3 linked regions of the Kluyveromyces lactis genome follow. The protein of the gene in region 2 purifies or fractionates together with the protein of the main gene of each other region. This does not show direct contact. Links are inferred from orthologs where the notes say so. Each region holds a gene or a part of one and is shown on either strand. Other genes may lie near its edges.

Evidence for each region. Proteins that work in one complex are often made in the same cells at the same time.
Region 1: the proteins of SSD1 (region 2) and ZRG8 purify together in Saccharomyces cerevisiae (affinity purification with mass spectrometry; 3 studies listed by BioGRID, with this or other methods). This does not show direct contact. The link is inferred for Kluyveromyces lactis from reciprocal best matches to the Saccharomyces cerevisiae genes SSD1 and ZRG8.
Region 3: the proteins of SSD1 (region 2) and PSY2 purify together in Saccharomyces cerevisiae (affinity purification with mass spectrometry; 3 studies listed by BioGRID). This does not show direct contact. The link is inferred for Kluyveromyces lactis from reciprocal best matches to the Saccharomyces cerevisiae genes SSD1 and PSY2.

Annotation. Positions count from the first base shown.
Region 1 is NC_006038.1:55,035-59,279, reverse strand, and holds ZRG8 (Zrg8p), read left to right. Parts: upstream 1-1,445; coding exon 1,446-3,908; downstream 3,909-4,245. Other genes in the region: NCS6 (Ncs6p), read left to right, coding at 71-1,186; FIR1 (Fir1p), read right to left, coding at 4,002-4,245. UniProt on the Saccharomyces cerevisiae protein: Involved in the integrity functions of RAM, a conserved signaling network that regulates maintenance of polarized growth and daughter-cell-specific transcription.
Region 2 is NC_006039.1:903,532-911,904, reverse strand, and holds SSD1 (mRNA-binding translational repressor SSD1), read right to left. Parts: upstream 5,058-8,373; coding exon 1,524-5,057; downstream 1-1,523. Other genes in the region: RRF1 (Rrf1p), read right to left, coding at 46-771; PUT2 (1-pyrroline-5-carboxylate dehydrogenase), read right to left, coding at 6,287-8,017. UniProt on the Saccharomyces cerevisiae protein: Can suppress the lethality due to deletion of SIT4, and partially the defects due to BCY1 disruption. Is implicated in the control of the cell cycle G1 phase.
Region 3 is NC_006040.1:1,588,593-1,592,833, reverse strand, and holds PSY2 (Psy2p), read right to left. Parts: upstream 2,751-4,241; coding exon 501-2,750; downstream 1-500. Other genes in the region: SPS19 (2,4-dienoyl-CoA reductase (NADPH)), read left to right, coding at 1-206; ubiquinone biosynthesis protein COQ4, read right to left, coding at 3,502-4,241.

The DNA of each region.
Region 1 (4,245 bases), on a different chromosome or scaffold from region 2:
TTATGAAACAGCCAAAAACATCCCATTATCGTGTAACACACCGCTATACAGTCAGACAAATCAAGTCTCCATGTTTACACCACCGACTGATCCGAAGAAATCCGTCAAGGTAAAGGTCTCACAGCTCTGTGAACTATGCCATGCGAGAAAGGCAGTGATGAAAAGACCGAAGAATTTACAACGGATCTGTAAAGAGTGTTTCTTCTCTGTATTCGAGACAGAAATACATAACACCATTGTATCAAACAACCTTTTTCACCGAGGCGAACGTATTGCAGTCGGTGCTTCTGGAGGTAAAGATTCCACGGTCTTAGCATACGTTTTAAAGCTTTTGAATGATCGCCATGATTATGGAGTTGAGATTGTTCTTTTGAGTATTGATGAGGGTATTGTCGGATATAGAGACGATTCGTTAGCTACAGTGAAGAGAAATCAAGTACAGTATGACCTTCCGTTGGAAATAGTATCTTATAAAGATTTGTACAATTGGACAATGGATGAGATCGTAGCATGCGCTGGCATAAGAAACAGTTGTACCTATTGCGGAGTCTTCAGGCGACAAGCTCTAGACAGAGGAGCTGCCAAGCTAGGAATCAAACATGTAGTTACTGGTCATAATGCGGATGATATGGCGGAAACCGTCTTGATGAACATTTTACGTGGTGATGTTGCCAGGCTGGAAAAATCAACATCCATTCTTACTCAGAGTAGTGGGTCACCGATCAAGAGGTCGAAGCCGTTCAAGTATTCATACCAAAAGGAAATTGTCTTGTATGCCCACTATAAGAAATTAGACTACTTTTCAACCGAGTGTTCTTATGCCCCGGAAGCGTTTAGAGGTACCGCTAGAGAACTCATGAAGAACCTGGAAGCAATCAGACCAAGTTGCATTATCGACATCATTCACAGCGGAGAAAGCTTGAAGCTAAAACCAAAGCGCGCTAAGAAGGCACCACCACCAAGTCACATGGAAATACGGCCCGATGGCTCAGTGTCATTACAAAATGAGTTTATCGATGGAAACAGATGCGAAAGATGCGGATATCTTTCCAGTAATAAGATATGTAAAGCGTGCATGCTTTTAGAGGGATTGGAACAAAACAGAGCTAAGATCCAACTTGAAAAAGATTCAACTACTGAGGGAGCTGCAAAACTATCAAGAACTCTTGAGAAATTACAGTTCTGAACTATTAGCTGCTCATTTTAGTACTCCTTCCTGCATGTCTTTACTAAATATTACCATATTTATAATTATTTTATTTACATCTCAAAATCGTTACAGTTGCACATTTTTTTTTGATGAATGCAATTTAACTGCAGTATTTCAGATATAATAGAAGTTCTAATAATGCATGATGAACAATACAAAGACGGAAAATACACAACGGTGTAGGATAACAAAACACGATAACGGTCGTTGAGACCGCATTAACAATTTAACAACAATGAGGTCTTTTATAAAAACTCATAAAAGAGCTTCATCTTTAGATAATAGCCCCAGAAAATCTTCCAACGAAAGTCCCGAAAACAGGAGAAACTCACAAGGTTCTTTTGGGACTGAGCTATCTTATCCATCAGGGTACCCACCTAACAATGTTTTAAAGCAATCTTCAAGTTTCGAGCCGCTTCATAAACTTACTAGTAACAAAATTTTCAGTTCTAAGTTGTTTAAGAAAAGCTCCAATGGAAAGACCAGTTCATCGAATACGTCACCACTGCTAAGCCGGTCTGATGCAGAAACATTCGCTCCTTTACTTTCCAACACCAATAACATACCAGCCATCAAGGGTACCCGAAAGCATGAATGGGGTGATAATGATGATACTTCAGAATCTGTTATTCTTTTGAATAGGACTTCAATGTCATCTATGTCCGATACTAACCAAGACACGCCGGATACTGAAATCGTTCGTATACATCCAAATTCCCAGCAAGGAAGTATTTTATCGTCACAAACGTCTGCGGATAGAACACCGAGACTTTCGCTTGAGGAAGCAGAAGACGTTGAAGATTATGACATAACAAAACATTCCTCTCTGAGTAGGAGCCAATCCCTCAAAAAGAAAAGAAATAGACTTGCCAGAATCCATTCACACGATGATATAATGCATTTGAGGAGCCAAAGTTCATTTTCAAGCGACCTATTGGGTAGCGGGTTTAGTCCTATACCTGAGAAATCGCCAAACCCATCACCTCTACCAAAATATGAAAGATCTCCTAGAAAGGAGAATAACATACTTGACAGGACAAATCTTTTCGACCTGCGAAAGATTTCAGAAGCTTCTTATACTGCAGAGGATGAATCCAATTTCAATAGGCCATTTACAGGAGTTGCAGGAGGTGAAACTATTCAAATTACAACTTCCATCAAGGACAGCTTCGTACCATCACCGGAGACTTCTCATAAAATAAGATTCGCCGCAGATAATGTAATTCCATTGAGCAAAGCACAAATTATAGAAAATTCTGCATCCGAAGCTGATGAAGATGATTCAAATGAAGAAGACGGAGAGGAGGAATCAGATTCCTCTTCTAGATTTTCATTCGAAAACGGTAATGATCTGTGTGGAAGAACAGCTTCTTTGAAATATTACTCAACTGAAACAAATACCCCACCACTGTACGTGAATGATATATATGAGAACGATAATTTTGACGATGAAATGAACTACTTTGATTCTAATGAAGAAGAAGATGAAAATATGGACCATTTATATGGTGGGGACAATACAGCGTTATCAGGCTTTGCAGGAATGTGTACGTTGTCAGACGACGAATTTGATCGCACAAATGCAGCAATATCACAAGAATTATCATCGCACTCGTCCCAGTCGTCCAAAGGATATACTGAAAGACAGAGAGGCTTTTCCAAACGCGATTCAAACAAAAGTTTTGAAGATGGGAATGACGATTATGACCCGTCAAACCATTGCCGATCGTATCATGATATATATAACTTAAGTGACGAAGAAGAAGCGCAAACTATCAACAAGAAAGTTACTGAACCTCGTAAAAGAAAAATTTCTGATGGGACTAATAAAGTTACCAAATACGCTGACATGTTTTTGCTCAGTGACGATGATGCGGAAAGTGGTTCTCAAGATGAAGATTTCGGAGACGAGAGTCGCGAAAACGATGTGAAGTTCAACGTCAATAGTGAGCGGTACGGGGTTGAGCACACGAATTTAGTGACAACTCAGAATCATAACTTAAATCCTATCAGCTTCAAATCTCCAAGCCGCTTCTTGGATGTTTCAAATGTGAATCATTCTCCTTTGGCGTATAAAACTCCAGAGAGAAATATCCTAAAGTCACCTTTACAGCAGCCCATAAAATATCATGGAGTGAGCAGCTTACTCGATAATGACATCCAAGGGACGATGAAAAATCTATATTATATAGATGAAACCGACGAGGATAGGTTTCTTGAAAATTCTGCTGAATCAGAAGAGTACTATTTGGATGAAATAAATGGGATACCGGAGGATTTTGAATTTTCGGACGATGAAAATATTATGCGGAATCTTTCACCTTTAAGTAGGTTGAATCGAACAAAACTTTTAGCCTTTAGAAGGACACATAGCTATTCTGACCGGCCACTGGGTGTATTGAAAGATAACACTCCTCTTAATTACAAGTTGGAAATAAAAAATAAAACAGTCACATTTTTTGATCATAATTCAATTCATAGGTCATATTCTGAACCTTTCAGTTCATCATTACTCCATGATTCCCGAAAGTCTGAAGATAATTGCGAGGACCGAATACTCGATAACAAAACTCTTGCTTCACCTGTTACCCCCAACAGCTCATTCACGAAGCCTTCTCCAAGCTTTACACAGAATTCTTCCCTCAGCCCAATTCAGGAATCTACGACCTCATCAGACGCATCTCCCAAGATATTATAAACAGGACATTTAAAAAGACAATCTGTAATATTACATACCGTACCATCTCATAGCCGGATATTAACTAACTAGAATAATATATATGTTATTGTGTTAGTGTTGTATCCCCTGTATTCTCTCCATATATCTTCTCTGCTTTTCAGGAGACATTTTATTATGGCGCAGTGCATTCTTTTGTCCATTGAGCAAAGGTCGTGGGAGTGGTGGCAAGGATTTTGACTTAGATATAGTTCCCGGTTCCTTTTTATTGTTTGAAGTTAGCTCAAGTATTAAGCCCTTGAGTTCTTCTGCTGTCTGTTCGCATAAATCAGCAATTTCTGCCGATTTTCTTTGAGAT
Region 2 (8,373 bases):
TAGCGCTCATTTGAAAAGAACATGGCTTTAAGAAAAACGATACACCTATTGGTTCATTACGCTTTTCTCTGCTTGTTTCAATTGTTCTTGTAGTTTAATGGTATATTCTTTGTGAATCTTTTCAACATCTTGAATAACCTTTTTGACATCGTCATTCTTTTTTTGTAGATGCTTTAATTCTTTCATTATTTCGCCACGGACATGGCCCAAGGATTCCTTCAGGGCAGAGTGCTTGTAATCTTCGAATACTTTCTTTAGGTCTTTACAGACTGCTTGGCGTGTCTCTGTTGTGATTGGTGGGAGAGAAACTTTAAGCTGTTGATCATTATTAGGAATTCTCTCGGGGTTTAAATTTAAACCTGCTGCCATAATGGCACTAACAATATTTTTGGTATCTTTAGGATCAAAAACAGTCACAATAAGAGCATTCCTACCCTTCAAACTGGTCGCAGCTAGTTCCGTAAACTTTTGTCCTTCTTTACCTACTCTCAAATCATTGAAAATTGTTGGGCTTGCGGTTCCAACTTTTTGCTCAGCCAATTTCCTTTTGTGCAATTCAAGAGTCTTCTCAAATTGTTTAGTAGCGTCGATGACATACTTCTTGACATCTATTATCTCGATAGGCTCTTCATTGTCAGCCTTTCCTGGTTTTCCACTTGTCTTGCCTTTTTTCTTTGCCAAAAGGGCCGCATAAGAACTAAATGGGCGAGCATATGCTAAAGGAGCAGCTGTGGTACTTAGTAAACCGATTCTAAACGCTTGTAGTGACATGACTGGTCAAAATCACTGTATTTATTGAGTGATTATACATTGGAATGTTCAATTCCTTCCTTTTGGTGCGAAGATATTGTTATGTTCATGATCTCAATATTAAAGTCTTTTTTCCTGTCGTCAAGAATTCATTGTGCAAGATGGTGGTTTGCTTGTAAATAGTCCAAGAGAAAGTATAAGCAAGATGCAATAGCTAACTGAAGGTGCTAGACAAATGAGAGTTACAAATAATTCTAAACTTTCACAATGGAATGAACTAAGGGAACTGTTTGTATCATATATTTAGCTATTAAGTTGGAAATAGATCTTTTTGTATACCACCTATTGAAATTATTCCAAAACAACATTCAAAGATCTACACCTAAGGGAAGGATATTAAGTGTAACACTAGTAGTAGTGGTAAACCTCTAAAATCTTGTTGTGCTCGGTATCGGTTTTTTTCATTAGAAATTCCTGATACGATATACATATTTAGTACCCGACTCGTCTGTAGTATTTCTGTGGTTTAGGATCTTAAAGTGACATTTGTTTCTCAAATAAAGAGAATTCTATTAACTGCAACTAACAAAAACGAAACTAGAAGAAGTTTCTATATTCCAAATGAGTTACTAGAAAAATTTGCATTCGTTATATAGACATATATCAAGATAATATACATGAAATTAGATAAAAAATGTAAGCGTTATAGGTATACGCCGTTCGGATACGTGAATAGAACTGAAGAAATTAATGGAACTCATTTGAGAAAGAGTTCAACTTCTCATAAATGGGTTTAATGCACGAACAGTCAAGCATGGTAACGCCATACCAATTTCTGCTCTTAAGAGTAGAGGAACTTGTTGAAGTTCTCTGATCTCTTGAATATAGTTGTCACCTTCTTCTCTTGTGACAGTGGTTTCGAAATATCCTTCCAATGCATCTGCGTTGTTGAACTTTCGCAAATTCAAAGATGGTGGTGTCAATTTCAATTCTTTCAATTCTTTGCTAAATTGCTCACTAATCAAATTGTTCTGCAAGCTGTTTTGATTGAAAGCAATTTCTTTACTGCTGGAGTTAAACTTATTTTTAATAGAGTTTCTGTAAGATTTTGGATTCTGTTCGTCAGATGGCACAAAAGTCGCACTATCAACACCTTTCTTCCAGTAGAGTTCTAAGACTCTCTCGGCAACGTCAAATTCTGCTTTAACAAGAGGTAACTGATCACCGTGAACTCTCTTTTCAATACCTAATTCAGGGATAAACACATCAAAAGAAGATTCATATACTTGCAAAACAGTGGCCAAAGTTAGTACTTGACCGTTTTGATTCCCCATGTCATTTGTTGTTTTGCAGAGGAGTAAATGGATAGCCTGTTCCTGTGCGTGATGTGCACAATCCTTTTTGAAATTACAATATTCAGACGTGATTTTTAAAGATTCAATAGTTTCTTTATACTCTGTACCATTAATTATGCTCTTCAACTGCCTATGAACCACATGATCAGAGTATCTTCTCAAAGGAGCTGTGAAATGTGTGAACAATGGCAAATTCAATGAATAATGCGCAAATTGGTCAGGTTCGACTTTACCAGATATGAAATATTTAGCCGGTGTTAAGGTCTTGGATAAAAATAACTCAACCGCCATTCTTGTAGTGTTATTATCTATGGCAAGAATTGAATTCAAAACTGATTCAGAACTTGTTATATCCATCTCAACGCCAAGTTTTTCAACTTTCTTTTGGAACGTTTTCAATTTGGTAGAAATTGGTTCTGGTTGTCTTCTCAAGAAAGCAACATCTCCCAGGGAAGTGAACAATCGAGTAGCAACGGTATTATTCACTTTACGCTCTATTTCCGATAAAAGGGTCAAAGCTTTAGAACGTTGTAAAATATTCAAATCAACTTTAACCTTCTCGTCATCGAGAGATTCCAAAAGGGGCAAAGTCCTGTATAAATCAGCATTTTTGGAGTTAAGCCTACAGCGGTAAAATTCTTTAGCCACTGCCTCAAGTTTCTCAACAAACTTTGAGCCCGAAGCTGAAGATCTCTCCAATTCTTGATTAAGCCTGTCATGTGTCAATGAGGTGTTTGGCTTGACACGAGTCTCGCCTATCCACGTTGTAACAATATCAAAGTTTTCAGGCTTCAGTTCATATATTATACTGACAGTGTTTGACAGTTTCTCGGGCTGCAAACTTAAGAATTCATTCAGAGCGGCTGGAAGCAAACCAACAGTCTTCTGTGGCATGAAGACAGCGCTAGATCTTTTCCTAGCTCTTCTATCCAAAGATGAACCTTCTTCAATATGGACTGTTACATCAACAACATGAAATCCTAATTCAAGGTTACCGTTGTCAGTGTCTCTTAAATGGACCGCATAATCAGAAACTTCACCAGTTTCTGAAATGGCAATGACATTTTCATAAGTACGCCTTGTTTTGCTTTGCTCTTCTGAAAGCAATACAGGTGCAAAACTATCTCTCTCCTTTGTACGGTCCTGAGGGTCTAAATATTCATCACTTAAGAAATTATTGTCTCTCAAAATTGAATCAATCTCAGTTTTTGGATCGTTCACATCGCCTAATTGCGAGACAAGAGTACCAAAGGGATGCAAAGAAGTGATTGGCCAGCGCTTGATGCTAGCAACGAAAACTTTATTCAGATACTTATCAGCATTTTCGACGAAGTCCTTAGGCGCCTGTTCTATCGAAATGGCAATTAGAGGAACTTTCTTATCGGTAGGTTTGAACCAAACAATTTTCGGCTTATTTGGCTTATTCACATCGTTGTTCGCTTGTTGAGATGGTCTTAATAGACCCAAAGTACCGCTAAATAGTTGGCCCGGAATACGGTCTAACACCGCGACTACGTGTCCAGCGTACAAAGGCCTGTAATCATCATTAATCTCTTCTTCCTCGACCAATAATAAAGATTGACCTTCAACCTCTACGTCATCATTCTTCTTTTGAGTTGGGCGCTGCTTCAATGATCCTCTTCTTTTGATGGAGCCAGATGAAGATCCCAATGTAGCATCTGATCCTTTATTTTCACTAGAGCATGATGCGCTTGTAACAATACTTGTTGAAGCATCATTATGGTAATCATCTTTAGAGTCTAGTGGAATAATATCTTGTTGAGTGCTTGCATCTTTTCTTCTCTTCTTCTCTTCCTTTTCCTTTTTCGATTCCCAGACATCGTCAACCATCAAAAGCTCAACGGCAACAAGATCACCTTCCAAAGCTCTATTACGATCCTTCGAACCACAAATGAAAATATCGGCGTCCAACACACCGTTGGTCGAAACCCAGGCATCCGATCTATTTTTCTTGTTGACCCGTAGAATACCTGCAACCAATTTGCCTTCTTCAATTAGTTGAGGAATGTTAGCTTGTGGCAAATAGGGTGCGAAAAGTGATTTACGGCCATTGGAGTTTTGCTGGCCATTTGCCGAGGTAAAACTGTGGGAAGAAGCATTGGATCCACGTGATTTATGACCTGGTTGGAAGACAGGTGGTGGTTCCAAACCTGGGTGGCCTGAATATTCTCTTGAATGCGTTCTAGAGTGATGAAATGGCGATACCTGCTGTTGCTGTTGTTGCAACCTCCAATTACCGTCGATACCTTCATTTTTCGAATTAGTGCGACGATGCGGGGTTCCAACGGGTATGAAATCATCATTGTTTTCCTTTTGGTTCAACTTAGCAGGTGGAAACTGGAATGATCTATTAGGGGACATATTTGACTGAGTTCTACGGTGACCTAGATTCTTAGACTCGGTTGTTGGAGATCCAGGGAATTTGAAGCTCGTTTGTTCATTTTCATCGACTAACTTAGGGATATCTTGAACATTGTCAATTTTGATCTGAGGTCCACTTTCTCTTTTTGCTTGTTCTTCTGCAGCGGCTCTCTTGGCTTCATTCAAACCAATGGATTGTCTTCTGGAATGTCCATATACGCTCGTCTGAGAGCCAGTTCTTCTGTGTCCACCTGCAGCAGGATTTTGTTTGTGATCGTTATTGTTGTAGAATGCAGAACCACTTCTAGAATGAGACCTGCCTTTTCTATTACCTGAATTTGGGGACAGTTGATACTGCACGTTGGGTGGTTGCGGTAAAAAGTTGGCGGCAGATTGTCCCTGTACGCCTAAGTTTCCGCCACTACTATTATTCTCGATCTGTTTTTGTAGAGTAAACTGCTCAATCATTAAATTCGTAAGTTCAGAAGGAGATTTCCTATGAGCAATGTGAATTTGCTTCGGAGTACCCTTACCACCGGTAGTCTGAACAAATCTTTCTTGTTCTGGCATAATAACTTTAGGTTAATTTTGCCCTTTAGTACTGATATTGTTGTAAATATTATATTTTGGTATCCAGGTCACAGATTCTATAGTTACTATGATTCCGAGATAATCCGCTAAGATTCCGCCAATAAATTCAAGACGTAGTTCTATCAATCAGTGCCAAAAACTATAAGTGATTGAGCCGTTCAAAGGAAAATTTAACTAAAAGCCAATAATGTATATCGTCAAAGAAAATAAAAAGTCCCAATTTCAAATTAGCAATAAAACGGGAAGATCGACAGAATGACAAAAAGAGATTTCAAAAGGAGGGGAGAAGCTATTTCACTTGAGGATAAGTCAAATTGTAAAACGTACAATGTTTGGTGAAAGCACAAGTAAATGATATCACTGATGACAAAGCTTTCGAAAACCTTGTATCACACGGTATTGCAAAACTCCAAAAAAAAAGAAGGGAACTAGAAAGAAATATTCAAGCCCGAGTAAAACGAAGATAGATAATCCTAAGAAAACAGAAAAAAACACACTCGCAGAGAGAAAATAACCCTCTATAAACTATAATTGATAGCTTTGCAGGACTTTGAAGCTGTTGGTCCGTTCTGTTTTGGGGGATCAAATTTGGCTTTACTCCTTAAATTGATCTTTTCTTCCTTCTAAATTCAACTTCTTCAAAAATTCATTTTATAAAATCAGCTATTTCCACTTTTAGCAGTTTCTAAAAAAAATCTTTTCTGTTACCCTCCACTTGCAAAAAGTCAAATTCGGAACAAGTCAGTTAGATTGGACGCCAAAGTCAAGAAGTATGAAAAGTCCGTCCATAGCTCAACGAAACATTATGTTGAACGATATCGTTCGTCAGTTCAACAAGTCTATTGCAAGTAGAATATTAAAAAATTGTCACTAATTAGCATGTTTTTTCATATTATTTATTATATTCTATCTAAAACGAGGTGGATCCACACTGTTTTACATGTAATAATATATGGAGTATTTTTAGCCTCACAAGTAATGTCACCCGGACATGTGCCTGTTTGAAAGACAAGGCATCCTCATATACAATGAAGCTGCTTGAGAGATCTTGGGCATGCACCATCGAAAGTAGCACTTACAGCGTGACTGTCGTATACATGTCCAAGGTTGTCTCCGTTTCGCTAAAAAAAGACTTTATTTCTTGAAGAGTTTAGGTATTTGTACATTTATATAGATTGGGAATTTAAAGTTCATGCAGGTCGATATACTTATTCGTAATTGGATGGATATCTGTAGTCTGTCAATTCATAATAGTTTTCTTTGATGTTCCTGACGCTAACAAATCTGTTCAAGATATTTCCAGACCCGGCCTTGTCATTAGTACCGCTCATTCTGGCACCACCAAACCATTGTTGAGCGACAACAGCCCCGGTAGATTTATCGTTGATGTAGAAGTTTCCTGCACTGTATTTCAATTTTTCATCAGCGATCTTAATAGCCTCACGGTCACGGGCGAATATGGATCCCGTTAAACCATATTGGCTGGTGGAATCAACCAGTTCACACACGTCTTCGAATTTTGCGTCTGGATATTCGTATACAGTCAATATTGGACCAAAGAATTCTTGGCTTAAATAAGGATGTCTTGGATTTGTAGTCTTTATGATTGTTGGTTGGATGTAATAACCCTTAGATTTATCATGGAAGCCTCCGAAAACAATTTCCAATTCTGGATCGTTCTTGGCATCGTCAATCACTTTGGCCAATTTATCAAAACTACCTTCATGGATCACCGGGCCAATAAAACCGTGTAAATCACCACCGTTAATCTTAGATGCCGATGTGTTCACTGGTTGAACTTCAGATAAGACACCTCCTAAATCACGAAAAAATTCCTCGCTCTTACTTTCGGGCAAGTATACTCTGGAAGTAGCAGAACATTTTTGACCTTGGAACTCAAATGCACCTCTCAAAGTGGATAGAACAGAATGAGGAATGTTAGCACTTGGATGGATCAAGTGGAAATTCTTACCACCAGTCTCACCGACAATACGCGGATAGTCTCTGTACAAACCATTCACAACACCCTTCTGGATATCTCCATATAGTTGCTTGAAAACAGCAGTAGAACCAGTGAAATGTAAAGCAGCGAATTCCGAGTCGCTCAAAACTTCCTTGGTGACTTCCACTGCGTTACCTGGGACAAAATTCACAACACCATTTGGCAAACCTGCTTCTTCCAAAACAGTTAATAACAAGTAGTTGGACAAATTGGCGTTTTGAGAAGGTTTCCACACAACAGTGTTACCCATCAACGCAGGCGCACCGATCAAATTACCAGCAATGGCAGTGAAATTGAACGGAGTTACTGCATACACAAAGCCTTCTAAAGGTCTGTATTCAGCCCTGTTCCATACACCGGGAGAAGATTCAATGGGTTGTTGGGCGTACAATTCATTAGCATACTTCACGTTGAATCTGAAGAAATCAGCCAATTCAGTGATGCAATCGATTTCTGCTTGGTATACATTCTTACCTTGACCCAACATAGTGGCAGCGAGCATGTCATAACGGTATTTGGTACAAATCAAATCAGCTGCCTTCATGAAAACGGAGGCACGCTCGTAATATGGCAATTTGTACCATTTGTCCTTAGCTTGTTTAGAAGCTTGGATTGCAGCTTTAACATCTTCATTAGTAGCCTGAGTAACGTTAGCTAAAACTTCAGAGTGGTTGGCTGGGTTCAATTGCTGGAAAATGCCTCTCTTACCACCGTCGTCGTTATAATAAATACGTTCGCCGTTAATGACTAAAGGAACGTCCAAAGAGGAGTTTTTGAACTTAGATAAAGAAGCCCTTAGTAAATCCCAATCAACCAAATCCTTACTACCGAACGCTTTAACTGGCTCATTGCCAATTTGTTTAGGTGGTTGAATATGGGATAGCTGCGCAACGCATCGTTTTGAAGAGCGCAATAGCTGAATACGAGATGATAGCATTTTATACTGCTTTTTCTAGCGAATACTTGTGATACCGTTAATACAACTCTTTCAATATTCCAAGAAGTGAAGCAAATATAGTAATGTGATGATATTTTAGACCTCACTATTTATCTTCTTGTTAAAGGAGCTTTGTTTGATCCCCTTATATAGAAATCATGCAATTTTCAAATACATACCAAAATTACTGGACTGAAATGTTCAACATGAACATATTACATATATTCATGGAGATATCAATGAAGATTCATCCAAATGAATTGTAACGGAAGGAGAACACGAAAGTTTTCCGCCCAAGTCACCTACATATCGGCCATATACTGTATTTCCCAGTATCTTACACGAACTCTCTTCGT
Region 3 (4,241 bases), on a different chromosome or scaffold from region 2:
CAGATCTGTCAGAGATGATTCCATTGCAAAGGCTTGGCACAACAGTTGATATTGCAAACACGACAGTGTTCCTTTTTTCTCCTGCAGCTTCATACATCACCGGAACTATTCACGTCGTCGACGGTGGTGCCTGGCATGTAGGCACACAAATAACGAGAGAGTTTTATCCTAAAGAGTTGAATTATGCTTTTGATTCAAAACTATAAGAACCTTCTCCTTCTGGCTATTAGTTGACTAACGGAGAATCCATTGCACATTGTGATTGGATCATTCAAAATAGTAAATCTGTAACACACAGATCATATAACTCTTATTCTTTTTCTCCCATCTATAACTTCAAAGTCTTGTTTTTCAATTAGAGAATGCAAGATCTGACCTTGAATTGAATATTATCCTAGTTTTTTTAATACTTATCCCTATATAAAACAACAACCTCCTTCTTTTTAACCTTATTATTAATATGCATCTAAATGCATCACATCTTCAGATATATCTGAATGTCATACTTCAACTTCCAGTGTAGTATTATCATTTTCATCAAAGCTAGTTTCCGTTGTTGATAAACTAGCAAGCTTTTGGGTTTCCTCATGATAAATAGCCATCATTTCTCTTGTGAAAGAAACGTAATCTGCCTTCAGTAATATATCACCATATCTACCGCAGATGTACTTATTCAACAGCATGAAATTCCTTGAACTTTTACTACCGGAAAGCGGAATATCTTCCTGCTCAACCACTTTTAATTGAGTGTTTAACGACTTTAAGAAATCTAAAATTGTAGAATTAGCCATATTATCTTCGTTCAAATTTTCCTTAAAAACTTCAAATATTGGATCGAAGAGATTCTTACCAATAAGATATCGAAGATAGAAGTCGTCATTTAAAAATACGATGTTTTTGAAACAACGCACTGCAGCAAGCCTTAATTGAAGGATATAATCGCTTGAAGCAAGTGATATAAGCCTGATCAAAATTCCATTCTCGAGAATAAATCGTCTAGATATTGATGCCTCATGACCTTGAATCATGAGATTGAGAAGTTTCACAAGTTTTATGAGTAACTGTTGATCACATTCATAGAGATTAACAGATCCATCGATGAAGCAATGGAAAAGGGAGGGCGCAACTTGTCTATAGAAACATTGCAAGTACTCAGCTAGCTGAAATTTCTCGTGATTTCGTTCACCGTCTAATCCATCATGATTTTTGCCATTCTGAATTTGAAGCATGTTATCAATTCGTGTGTCGATATTGTCATCATGGTTTTGATAGTCATCTACAATATAGTCTTCAGGATCTAATAAACTTACAAGTGCTTGGAAGGACTGTTCCTTCAATCCCGGACTCTTATCAGTGAGCAGGATCTTGGTCAATATAAGTAAAAGAGACATATCTGTAGAATCAATATCTGAATTCTCGTCATTCAATAAGGTGACTTCGTCACTTTGCACACTTTGGATTAGTTGGATATCGTGTTCAATGAGCCCCACAACTATATCCGTTGCAAGGATTCGAATATCGTTATTAGTTTCCATGTTGAATGCAAATTGGATGACTTGGAACAACCCTTTCTTGATTAAAAATTTGTAGAAAAGGGTTTTTTCTATTGAATTTAGGTTTTGGGAAAGTTGGATGCATTCATGTAATAGTTTTATACCGTCCCTTCTTTTATCTGGGGTGACGGTTGAATCCTCCTCAACTTTATACATCGAGATGACTTGATTAATAAAATTGTTGCTATCCTCCTGTAGGAAATCTATTATGGAATTCTGGTATGACAACATTAGGTCAGATATGAAGGTGAAAGATTGATCATCCAAAAATCTAACTAGAACCACATCTTTCAAAAATTGAAGCCTAAAATTTTGCGTAATCATTAATTTGATCGTTGGATCTGAGATGGGAATCATTTCCTTGAAATTTGGCTCCTTATCTTTCAAATATTGTCTATGGTTAAGTTTTGAGTTTGGAAATTCAGTATCATATTCCAATATACCGCAAACGCATAAAAAGTTTTCATCATTGATCATCTCTTCCAAAATCTCCTTGCTGTTGAACAATATTAGAGTTTTCACAATGTTGCTCAATAATAATAAATTTCGATATAGTTTAGATTCTTCTGACTGATAGAATGATCTGATTAGTGTTGCTAAATAGTGATCGTTGATAACAAATTGAATTGTCTCATTTCGCAGATAATCAAATGACGTGTTTTCGTTTAGAATTTTCAATGCTTCTAAAAGGGATTCTTCTGTCTGGTTTGGTACATTTGAGGGAAGATTGACCGGTCCTGTTATTATCTCATGAACAGACCCGATTCCATCATCTGTCGATCTTACAGCTACCAAAGAGATGCGGCTTTCAATGTTTTTCTGTACAAAGCAAATATATTCACATAAAGAATCGCATCCAATGCTTTCTTCAAAGGATAAAGCTATATCCTGACCATTCAGATCCTTCCAGACAATAAGAGTTTCCTCTTGACGCTGGTATTCGATGTTTTGTTCGAGCCTGGACTTAAGTAAGACCTGGTCATCGGAGTCTTCATCGACCACCAAAAGATACGCCATTTTCTCTGCAGTCTGAGTGTCATCTATAGTACGCTCTTCCACTGTCCCCTGACAAAACCCTGTCCCAGTATCCTTCCACTCGTTATTTTCCAACACATAGACTTTCACGCGTTTCTTCTCAGTGTATACCGACTGTTTGGCACCATCCCCAGAAACATGCATATTGTTAGATTCAGACATATCTTATATTATGCTGATCGAAGCCCTAATAAATGGCAAGATCTCGTAAGCTCTTTCTGCTAATTGTGACCTGACAAAATAGGTTCAAAGTCTTGTAAGCAAAAGTTGCAATGCGTTAACAACCGAGTGAGTCCGAAAGAAAACTTGAATGTTTACACTTCGTCGAAAGCGTCAGTGACTTCTTCCAGTTAAAAAAAAAGGACAAAGAGGATTAAACACAAGCGCTATAAGAGCTTTGAAGTAACAGATTCTTGTATGTTCAATATCAGATTATCCTCCCCTTCCGCTTAAAACCCTCACAAGACACTGCTTCTCTTTTATTATGGGGTGAGATGAGATGCCCTGGTCAGAAGTCTTAAATTGGATAGTTTTTAACTTTGTTCTTTTTTTTCTTCTTCTTGGCCGCTAAACGCAGTGATAAGAAAAAAGAACAGTTTTAAGGCTGCAAAGCACACCGAGGGAAAGAGGACATCGTACTGAAGTTCGATCATAATTGTTTAACATACCGCGTTAGCAAATAAAAGTGTAGGCAGTGGTACTGTACGTAGCAAGGATGTTAGCTATAGATATATTTTTTAATCGATCAAGCAAAGGCGATCTTTTTCCTCTTCAATTGAAGACGTTTATTTCATTACGTACGTATTTCTATTTCTTTTTTCCTGGTTCCTATATCCACAGAATGACCCTGCATTATACTTTACAAAGCAACTTTACGCCAGCCATCACGATTTGGGGATTGAGGGTTTAAAATTCATTTCTCGTAGGTCTCATACTTAAGCTTGAACTGTTTTCTTTGTTTCGCTCTTTCCTTTCTAATTTTTCTCAAATCTGGAGGTGGTGTGACGTTTAATTCTCTTCTTAGTTCGTCTATGTCCTTATCCAAGATTTCTTCCCAATAGACATTGATGAGAGGTTTGCAATTCAGCCCTGCTTTGACTGCCCATGGGAGGTAGATGGAGTAAAGTCTTTCCTTTTGCACTTTCTTTAATCTCAATGGTGCTAATAGAGCACCAAGTGCAGCCATTGGGACACCAATGTTTGATGCCTCAAATGCTTTAACTGCAATCTCACCTTCGATTATGATTGGTAGGTCATTTATTGCATGATAAAAGTCATGGCATTGTCTATATCTCTTAAATATGAAAGCATGGACAGGATCATCGATATAAGTAACTGGTGCCCTTGTGTCTGGAGAGACCCCCTCTTTCATCAACCATTTGTAGTACGTATAGCCAACTGAATTTTTATCCATCTTTGACAATCGTTCCATGTCAAGGCTTTCCGATGTGATGTTTGGTCTGTCTTGTAGAATCCTTCTACCAGTCTTATCTAACAACATTGTCCGTTTTAAACTTTCAAGAAAGCAAGGTAGAGCAGTAGCTTCTCCTAATTGAACGATGTTCTCACCGTTCTCCGGGTGGAAATAAGATTTTAAACCACTGATACCGAAGAGCATCATTCGCTCATACCACCAAAGTGGAACATGACCCT